Linked DNA regions of Drosophila melanogaster. The protein of the gene in region 1 interacts with the protein of each later gene in a pairwise test. Each region holds a gene or a part of one and is shown on either strand. Other genes may lie near its edges.

The links. Proteins that work in one complex are often made in the same cells at the same time.
Region 2: the proteins of CG33080 (region 1) and otp interact in a two-hybrid assay, tested with the Drosophila melanogaster proteins (one large-scale study listed by BioGRID).

The regions. Positions count from the first base shown.
Region 1 is NC_004354.4:5,714,314-5,719,879, reverse strand, and holds the start of CG33080 (uncharacterized protein), read left to right. Parts: upstream 1-2,101; 5' UTR 2,102-2,165; coding exon 2,166-2,534; intron 2,535-4,407; exon of another isoform or gene 4,408-4,608; coding exon of another isoform or gene 4,609-4,734; intron 4,735-5,067; coding exon 5,068-5,228; intron 5,229-5,566.
Region 2 is NT_033778.4:20,900,008-20,905,560, forward strand, and holds the start of otp (orthopedia), read right to left. Parts: upstream 3,408-5,553; 5' UTR 2,779-3,407; intron 2,287-2,778; 5' UTR 2,052-2,286; coding exon 2,021-2,051; intron 1-2,020. UniProt on the Drosophila melanogaster protein: May be involved in the development of the central nervous system.

The sequences.
Region 1 (5,566 bases):
TTACAATTATGTTTATTATTATTACTCTCTCGTTTTCCTTCTTATTTTTTTTTTGTTCTCTTTTTTTTTTGGCCATTTACATGTAGCAAGCGCTTAGTTTAGATTTGTGTGTATTCCATATAATAATTAATAATACTATGCAACTAAAAACGCTCTCTCGTTGTTTATTTGATTATACTTTCTGTGTCTCGTGGCTGTTGAGCAAACAAAAGTGTTGGGCGTCTCAAATAGAAGCCACATATATCGAGCAAAGTATATACGCTAACAAGAAGATGCATTCCATAATAAGTACGATAGAACGATAAATTATCAATGTTTTCTAAACACATTTAATACGACAACAACACAGCTCGGCGAACATAAGCTAGATGAAAAATTGAAAATAAATAAATGCGTATGTGAACTGGAAGATTCATCAAAACGTTTAAGTGTACAACTAAACTAAATGAACAAATTTAACAAATTTATCGAAAACAAGCATAATAAAAGCAAATTGCATTTTTCCCCTTTTCAAAATTACTCAAATCATTTCTTGTGCGAATGCGGTGGTTTTGAATCGAATTATGTGGAAGATCTTAAGATATTCTCTTATTTAGTGGTTTGTATTACATAGTTGTATCTTTTTTGGCAGACTTCAAATTGAGTGTAGTCATCGGATAGCCATGGCAAAAATAGTCGTACTTATTGGCTTATTGAAATTACTCACACATAATTCGAGAGTTGACCAACTTTGGCGGTGACTTTGAATCGCGAATTGCATGATAATTTTGTTTTACCTGCCATCTGGGTTTATTAATTCTCAAACGAGGTGTCTATTGAATCGCCATCGCAACAGGTTATTTGTTTAGTTTTGAATACATTTCAGCAATTAGTCCCACTGTACTGGGTTTATCAGAAGCTGTAAATTTGGTTATGCCTGTTTTTTTTGTGTTTCACTAAATCGGTTTATTACCGTCTCTAATATGTGATTCAGTCCGATTGCCTCCATACGCTGCGTCTGCGGTACAGTGACCACAAGCTATGGTGGCCACACAAAATATGTATATATCGAGTAATTATTAATCTAATTATTTCAATTTAATTACTAAAATTACATATAAATTGAGATATTTATATATTTAACCAGAAGCGGTTACCTTATCTAGATACACCCGTACCATCCACACTTCTACCCTTTCCCGTGGCAATGATCATAAATATAGTTCAATCGTCAAATATTTGCGCACTCTAGACAATTTATGAGTGCAATTTGTTAAACAATATTGCGAATTAGTTGTGGCATTCCGCACCGTTAGATTATCAATTTGCGGAGCACTTGGTGAGAGAAGTTTGCCCATGGGGGGGTTGGGTTTGGGTTTGGATGTGGGTGGCTGCGTTGGTTTGGTTTACCTTATCAGGTAACACATGTAATTATTGAAAGGCGCTGCTCGATCGAAATGATCGGATCGGCGGGCGAACGAGTTTGGCTCTTGACTTTGCCAGTTGATTAAATTTTGTTTGACTTTTTATTCGTGTACACTTGGTGCTTTAAAACAAGGTCGAGAATTTTGCGGAGAGCGACGAGAAGGGAGTCGGTGCGAGATTACGCCTAATTAGCCAGGCAAACAAATGCGATCCACGAAGTGGGCTTATGGCTAGAAAACGAACTTAATTAACTCATTCAGTGGGGCAACAGTCGCAGAGTTCAAATAGCTTTTAACGTTCGGTATACGGGGCGTATTAGCAATATCTGCGTAACCAGCGCACCCGGATCACAAATACACTGAAAGATTTGAATTTCAAAAACCGAAATTCTAGCACAATTATTTGGGGCTCAGCATGATGATTTAAGTTTTTGATATCTATATTTTTCATTTACACTGTTAACTGATTAATTTAGCCATAATATATATGTATGTGCAACTGTGATTGAGCATTTTTTTTTTTTCGATCGGTGTGTGCGATTATCGCCGACCGATGATAAGCGCTGATTAAAGGCAAACAGCGATGGCAATCGAAGCCGCCCGCTCACTGCCCGTCTCCCTCTGTCCGGCCGCCCAGCGCTCTCTTTCGCTCCGCCGGCGATTTCGGGTTCCGGTTGCCGCGCTCAACCCTTTTTTTCATTCGCCAGTGGAACGCGATCGCGTTTGGAACGCAGCCGCTGGAACTGAGAAGCGGCCGGTGAAATGGCTCAACCATCGCAATCGGGAGCCGCGCAGGCGCTCAACGGCCAGCATCCGGAGTTGGCCTTCGCGGATGCGGACACGGACGGAGATGAGCGACTGGAGGAGCATGGGCAGGAGCAGGAGCAGCTCCAGCTACTGGGTGCCATGCCCAGGAAGCAATCTCTCAGCGAGCGACGCAATGTGGATCTACCGCATTTGAAGATGGTCAACGAAAAGGAGCCGGAGTCGGCGACGCCGTCGCCGGAGGCCTTTGCACCGGGACTCCGACGCAATTCGATATCCATGCCCTCGGGCATTAATGCCCTGGATCTGGAGGCACTGCGTCTGCGACATCAGATGCAGCCGCAAGATGCGCTGCACGAGGAGATTGTAAGTACTGCACGCTTTTCATTTGAATTCATCAGAAAAATCTAGCATTCAGCATTGAATTCATCAGTGAATATTTTGTACCAATGTAAAATGAAGAATCTGGCGTAGGAGGTACATAAAAAGATTAGTTTACGACCCAGTTTATATCCATAGAAATTCCTCGAAAGACAAGTCGCTTCGGTCGCTCAGTTGCTTTAAAACAAAACTATTTTAAGTGGAAAATGTACATAAAACATTAAACAAATTAAAGGTTTAATTCATTCGTAAAGTACATAATCTTTGGAAAGGAGCTACCTTTAGAGGGTATTTAGAGTGCCGTTTTGCCATTTTTTTTTTCTTTTTTTGAAATATATAATTGCAGCAAACCAGTTGAGCAGTTAAGCCCCATTCGAAATTAAAATACAATGCGTAATTAAGCGAGGCGTCATCGCCTCTAGTCTGTTTCCTCGCGCTCGGCGAATCTCGTCGATTTACAGAAAAGTTACCCAAAAAAAAAAAAGATACAAACGTTAATTGTGCCTTAATTATATGAAGTTGGCAAACAATAAACATGTGACCAAAAACCCGAAATCCAGTTAATAGTCACATGATGGTCCTACGGTACAAATGGGCACCATTAATTTAGCACATTCACTAATCCAAAAACAAAATATATTTCTAAAGTGTCCATTCAATATATTAGTATATCACATTAAATGCCCATTAATATATGCATCGTGCTCCAAATACGAACTCATAGCTTTCGACATTTGCATAAACATTTATGCTAACAAGAATATTATCATTTAAAAACACTTTAATTTGGTACAAATTAAAACGAGTTGCCGTTTGAGGCAACCACTCAATCTTTAAACTTATTATATAAGTATATGTTTTTTATTTGTATTTTTTCATTTCAACAAAGACGCATGTAAGCGCGAAGCAAAAAAAATATGATTGATTGCCGATCTTTCGCACAAATATTTACATTATTCCGAACCCTGTGAATTCCAAACTAGAATATCTGAATTATTAGCGCATACGATATTTTTCCGTGGGAGATTTTTGTCTATTATTTTCGATGTGTTAAACACTCAAACTCATTACTGGTGTCGGGAAGTAGCGACGAATGCCGTGCGCTAATTATAGAGCTGCAAACAAGCCGACGGGCGGACGGAGGGGGCGTGGCCAGGCCAACGAGGCGTATGTGTGATGTGACCAAGCAATCAACTGTCACATAGCGAGAATATAACACATACGCAGTGTGGTCAGTGTGAGCAATATGCCCAAAAGTATGCAATGCGAAACGCAACTTCTTTGATGGCAGGCAAAATATAAATTTTCGAAGAGAGGTGAGAAAATGTGGAATGAACAGAAATATTGAAAGGGTGACATAAATGTCACACCACGACGATTTAATTAGACAGATTCTCTCTGTTTCATTTCAAGCTATTCAAATAACATTTGATTTTGGAACGAAGCTCATTTTAAATTGGAATATTTAGCATTCAGTTTGTTCAAATTACTTGCAGTGCATTCATATTTATGGCCATTCGTCATGAAGTACGGCTAATATACCAAGACCGCAGTACGTCGCCAATCAGGGTAGCCGCAATTAATTTACGACTACCGGATTATTCTATCAAAATCAAATTCCGCACTCTTTCGAGCCGACTCAACTAGCTCATGATTGTTCTGAGTGTGGGTGTCGATATTTTCACTCAACGTAGCGCTGCCGACGCCGACTGCGGCAGAGGCTGCGAGAGCGAAGCGATTAAAACGCATAAATTGAGGCTTCAAAAACAATATTCAGGCAATAGCGAACCAGCAATTATCAACGGTTAACAGTGCGATCGCGGCACTAACGTCGTTCGGATCGGTTATAATTATTTGGCAACTCGAAAATATCGGCGATGCGAACTAGGTCAATCAAAGTTAACAGCAAACTAATAGAACAACGACTATCCTAATTAAATATAAACAATTTGTTTTTGTTTTACCTATTCTGTGACTCAGTGAAGTGTTTGATTGAAAACCCACAATTTAGTGCTGTGATAACATAAGTATTGCACGGTATAATCGTTGAGTGTCCACAATGAGCTCATCCAACAGCCGATTCATCCTCTCGAGCGTTCCCATCGAGGATCAGCAACACCCAGCACCGAATGTTAGACACAACGCCGTTGTGCTCGATATCAGTGCGGCTATGGATAAGGATAAGGCAGGTACTAAGTGTGGCTTGTAGCTTATGACGTACTCCATTCGATTCGATGCCATTTTTTCCGGGCTTGCCGTTATATTGTACGGGAGACACCTTGACTGGGTATTCTCTGCGGTAACGCCTCTGTGCTAATTGCACTCACCTTGCCCAAGTGCAGGTGTCAAAAGCCCAGAACCCATATGTATATGAATGGTATGGTATGGTATAGCCCAACCAAAATGCCATACTTTTCAGTTACAATCGCTTGCTGTTTGCTCTATCAATCCAGCTATCTGTGTAGTGTAGCAAAAAAGGAAATCTATCTGTTTGACTATATAAATTCTAATTTTTCAGATAGCCGACGATGCGACCTCCAGCCTGGGCACACCGGCCACTCCGGATACGCCGGGCACTACGGCGCCGACGACAACGGCCAATACGCCGGATAAGGCCATCAATTTCGCCAACGATGACAGCGATGACGAGTTCGGGAACGCCAGAAGACCAGTTCATCGGTGAGTGATTAGATCAACTACTACCACTACCACCGATAACTAACTAAGTAAATTTCATATATGCGGTTCTTGTATTTAAATAATTGGAGCTACTTTCAATTATGACCCACGCTGTCGTTGGGCACTTTTGCCCATTTGATTCATCGGGCAATTAGATTAATTAATCGAAAGTCGCTGCCTTTTGTCTCCGAACGACAGTAATTCAATTGTGGCGTCGGCACTGCCAGTGGAACGTGCCTTTCCCCACATTCCTCCCGACCTACCGCCCATTCCGAGTATCGGTTGCAACTACTGCCCACTTCCATGCTAATTCCGCAGCGATTTTCATTTGACTTTTC
Region 2 (5,553 bases), on another chromosome or scaffold:
GCGAAACGAAATGAAAACCGCACAAAGCGATTAATTAATTAAAATTGGCAAACATGAATTTATCGCGCAAGCAATTTGCACAATTTGCGCAAATCAGTTTGCCTGTTTTTGGGAGCGAACGACGCGATTTCTCCCGCAAAATATATGGACCTGGCCGGAATGGCCAGCCGAATGGCCAGAAACGGACTTTCATGGCCGAGCACTTGCATCCAGATTCGCCGTCAGTTGCATGTGCATTCAGCAATGTGCATAATTATTGAAATTTGGAAATTGTGCGGTTTTTAGCAGGACATAGGCTTTGGCCTTTGGGCCTCGAGTTGGCAAACTACGATGCAGATCGCTCCGATTCGGTTTGGTTTGAAATGGAATGGAATGGCATGGCATGGCATGGCATGGCATGGAATCTGGGCTGCTCCAACAACTAACCGCAACTGGGAACAGAATCCGCAGCAACCGCAAAACATTTCAATGCAAAGCGGATATGGCAGTGGGGGGTTAAGCGGTGTTCAGCGGGGTTAAGCACACATATTTCACTAGCCTAGGCCACCGCAAAAATGCCGAACGCACAAAGCGAAGCACGCGCAGATATTTCGTGGATGCAACGGACGGGTGGGGGTAAACCTGAAGGGGGTCTGTGCAAATTACAAATGCAATCATGAAATTAATTTAATTAATGCGAGGCTCACGAAAAAAGCGCCCAAACGAAACGCCATTCGAGCTCCTTTCGCTGCATGCAAATTAAGCATTAGTAGGGGAGAGACAATACGAATCCGGGGAAAGTTCTGCCATTTCTTTTGCATGCAAATTGCTCTTAATTGTAAAGGGGTGGTTAGGGGGGCATCCACTTTTGCCCCTCTCGGCCACGCACCCAGTATGCAAATGTTTTTTGGCCTCTCTGTTGTGCGAAACTCGGAAAAAGGCTCACGAAATTTATTATGGCAGACTCCAGCACTGCGGGCAGGATTTGTCCAAAGGATTCCGCACTGCGATTCATTGAAATTTATAGTTCTTCGTGGGCAAATGGAGCTGGCTAAAGTTGAAGCCGGCGAAAACTTTAAAAGCCAACTTTGGCAGTCGCAATCCATGGCAGATAGCAAACCGTCAGATCAGTTTCGCTTGCTAGCCCTTAATTAAACACCCATCTTCAATGGCAACTATGGACATTACGCATACGCCGCGTGCACCGAGCGGCGACAATTGGCGCGTGAAAAATGGCAATAAATTAATAAAAGTAATTAATGGCAACGCTTCGAAGGACGCAAGGATGCTGGCAATAAAAATTGAATATAAACGCGAGCCATAACTCATCCATGGCTGCTGCAGTTGCAGTTGCAAATGCACTTGCAAACTGTATTTTCTGGTAGTGTTGGACGGCTAACAACAAATTGATTGCCAAAATTGAAAGTGCTTGAATCGTTGATCAACAGTGTGGTAAAAATAATTTATTCACCTGCACACACGCACATACATATGTACATATGTGTATTCGGAATTATTAATATATTAATATGAGGACACAAGTACAGTTTGATAATTATGTGCGTGCGCCGGGTGAATGTGTGAATGTAATTCACAATTTGCGGCATATTTAAAAGAGCAATTATATCAATTAACACAAACACACCCACCCACACTCGATTCGGAATGGGCATAGGCATATGGGAATGGGAATCGGAGAAGGTTTGCCGAGTTAGTTAAATACACAACTTAATTATTGCTAAATGCACGCGACACCTGGCGCCATCTGGTTAGACGTCTCAATTATAGGCCATTTAGCAGACATGGGAGATGCGATGGCAATCGCCAGATCGGAAGTACGACTAACTACCCCTCCGATCTTTTGTGGGTGTGCTCAAGAAATTAGTTTAATTATGGCCAGGCGGATCGTATGCCATGGATTAATACACACATTATTATACATTAGCGCAATTCACTTGGCGATCTTAATTGCAACATTATACGCAGCTCCCGCCCGCAGCCCGCACTTAAAACGCTATCGAGGATTGGGGGCGTAACTTACCCAGCACATTGGCCCCAAGATTGTTCAGCATGTTTGCCGAGAAATTGCGGATCGACAGAGTCGACAGTTTGTCGCTGTTTCTGATTGCTGCTCCGAAAGTTAGGATTCGGGATCCAATTTGATTGAATCGGGAATCGATATCGACTGGTGGTGGCGGAATCCCAATGGGAGTTCCTGCTCGTATACTCGTCTATCACAGAACGTTGGAGTTGAAGTTCACCTGCGGTGCAAATTACATCTCAATTGTTCGGTGGAAATGGGTGTGGCTGCAAGTAAACAGATTTGTTATTTTTGGATGGGTGGCTTCTGCTCAACGCAAATATAAACATACATAGGTGACTTTGTGCTTTTTTGGAAGTACTTGTTAATTTTCAATACTAAAAGTTTTTAAATTGACAAGAGAAAATGGTCATTAACTTGTTTAGCAAAGTTTTTGTTTATGTTTATAGTATACAATCATATGCAATAAAACTGCTTACAATGTATCAAGATTTCTGGAATCATAAATGAATGTTTGATTTTTGTCTTGGCAAAACATTTAAGTATACTAATTGCTCGTGTGTTGTGAATATTTGGCCCAGCCCTCTCTTGAACTTTGACCCCTGTCAAATGTCCAGCTATTTGGGTAATTTAACTATTGTGCGACTAACCAGAAAACTAAATCCGTTTCACTTTCCTTAACCGCAGAAACTTCTGCCGAAGTTCGATTGTGTGGGCATTTGCATTGAGTTTTATTGCTCATTTGGCCAAGGACTCACCTGGCTCCTCCTATCGCTCGTCCTTTTTCCGCCTCCTTGCTTTTTGTGTATGCCACAGGGTTATGGGCTGGGGTCAGAGTTCAGGCCAGCAGACGATCAAATTGCCATAGTAAAATTAATTAAATGCCTTGACCATAAAAAAGCCAAAGAAATTAAATCCAAGTCACTTGGCCGGAAGTTGAAAAGTTTCCTTAGCTCCCACACACACACACACACACGCGCACAGCTGGCACACACACACAATCGCACTCACAGACACGCAGACATGCACAGCTTAGGGACACGCAATGAAACGGAAGTCGAATCGTTTATTGATGAACTGTTTGACCAACTGACAGCCGGACACTGTCCGGCGGAGGACACGGCTTGCTTCCACCTTCGGGTGTGGTCACTCGTCCTTGTTTTCTACTGTTTAATTGATAGCATTTTTACACTTCGGGCACATTTTCACTTAGTTATTCCTTGGCACTTCCCAGTTAGATCAATTCGGTTAATGGTCTCTGCCAGTGCGACGGCTTTCTAGGCACTAGCAAACGGAAACGGATCGAATTGTTTCGGATCGCACTATTGTATCGTATGGGAGCTGTACGCCGTATACGTAGCGCTGCTCGCTTGCATTTGAGGGCAGTGCGAAAAAATCAAAGCGAATTGACTACGAAACCTGATAACTTCGACAACAACGACTGCGCACTGGCGCCGCATTCAATCGCCACCCCCTCGCACAATTGACGGTTAAGTCAAGCGTTATCTCTGCCAGCGGGCTTATCTCTCGCATTGATTTGCAAAAATCGCAAAGAGCACACACCGTGCCAGTGCCCCGGGCGGGCGAGGAAAGGAGACAGCTAGCTGAGCCCACAGCCATCTTGCCGTCGAGCCAAGCATGCTGACTCGTTCGCGCTTGCCCTGCCAAGTGGTTGCTAGAGCGGGTCGGCTATACTCGCTGTGCGTAGGCCAGACCACGCCCTCAATGCAGACCAACGAATGAGGGAACTCGGGAGCTTGTGGCCCCGAACGATAGCACTTTTTGGCGCCCTCGGCGATAACAGGTCCTGCCGCCTATCGATAGGCGGGCTATCATCGATGCCGAAACAGACCTCGATTCCCCTCGAAAAACTTCAACTATACTCCACAGCTGGTCGCGTTGGCAACCGGCGCTTGGGCCACAGTTATTGCTGAAAGTCCACTCCTCCCAAAAATGCGCCTTGAATTCTTACTCAGCGTTGTTGATGCCACGTGTCAGCTTTCAGCCTCACCTGTTGTCGTTTATTAGTTTTTGTTTCCGTTTTTTTTTTTTGCCCGTCTTTTTGCTGGAGGGGAAGTACCTCCGACATTTGGCGGAATTTTATAATATTTTGCATGCTGCACAAACGTTGAATTAGCCAGACAACGGAATGCCGGGCGAAATAAGAGTTTGTCATGGCAACCGCAATTCAAAGGATTTCCACCCCACTTCCTGCGCCCAGTTCAAAGTCCTCCCACCGCCCCTCAAAAGTCTGCAAATTATGTTGGCCTTCTCCCTCCGACAAATACATACAGCTAAATCGGGGGCGTTAATTAAAAACTCTAGGTAGCAATTAAAACCACAAGAAGAATGCAAAAAATCGCAGCAGTTGTAGTTTGTTTTGCAATGAGCATAATTCAAGGTTCACACTTGTGCGGGGTGACAAACGTTCTAAAATAATTTAAAAAATTTAATAAGTGGCGTAATAAATTTAGATTGATAATTGTACACAACCTATTAAGTCTTGTATTTCACAAACTTGCATACTAACGTGTGAAATACTTATAACAATCCCACACAAATGTCGAAAACATCGAACAGAAATTTTTCTGTTAGTGTATTATAAAGTAAACAAGCCGAATAAATCGTGATAACATCTCAATTCGTTGTTGGGCTCACTTATTAGAGCATATGCATCACTTTTCATTTTTTTTCCTTTTCTCACATGAGGTACATAAAAAAACTTCGAGTGTGTTAATTAATCAAAGGCGTTATCGGCAGCAAAAAGAAAAATAAATTTATGGGAAATGTGCGGCGTAGACTTGTTGAATTTCGCCATATTAGCCAAGGATTAATCATCTAAGGAGTCTCAATTAGACCGCATTTTGAATGCCTGGCATGAGCATGTCGTAAATCACTTTGGCCAAATCCGGGCAGCAGATAGTGACTGTGACCAGGACAGCTGCGAAATCCTTGAGTTGCCGGGACCGGCATACCAAGAAGCATGGCGGAAAAAAAAAGCGCAGCTCAAATGCAAAGGATTCCGAATCCTTCGGCATGCACGACGTTCTCTTTTGACTTTGTTTGGCAATCGTTTAAGCCCGGAAAGTCGATGATGGAGATTTCAGTGTGGAGGGCTATGTGTGGAGAACCAGAACAAGTACGTGCAGTCAAACAGATTTCCAGTTAGCAGCTCACAACAATTCGCTTTTAAGCCAGCGCATAAATCAACCTCAAAAGATATCCCCAATTTTTCGGGTCAGGGGGATGCGGCGGGCGAAAGCGTTAAATTTCGAGGGGGTAAAAGTTTTTTTTTCTCGCCTCCGCGGCATTTTATTGAAAGGATAATCGATTGCAGCAAAAATGCTGGCAAGGCATTAAAGGATTCGACTTTGGGCAACTTTAAAAACTTAACCCAAGGCGATGTCGACGAACTGAGCGATGTGAAATGCTGCTCTTTGCGGTCAATTTAATTGAATGATGAATTGCGTCGGACACTTGGGAGGTGGGGTTCGGATGCCGCAGAAAATTCTTCAGTTGTCACGGGTACTTGT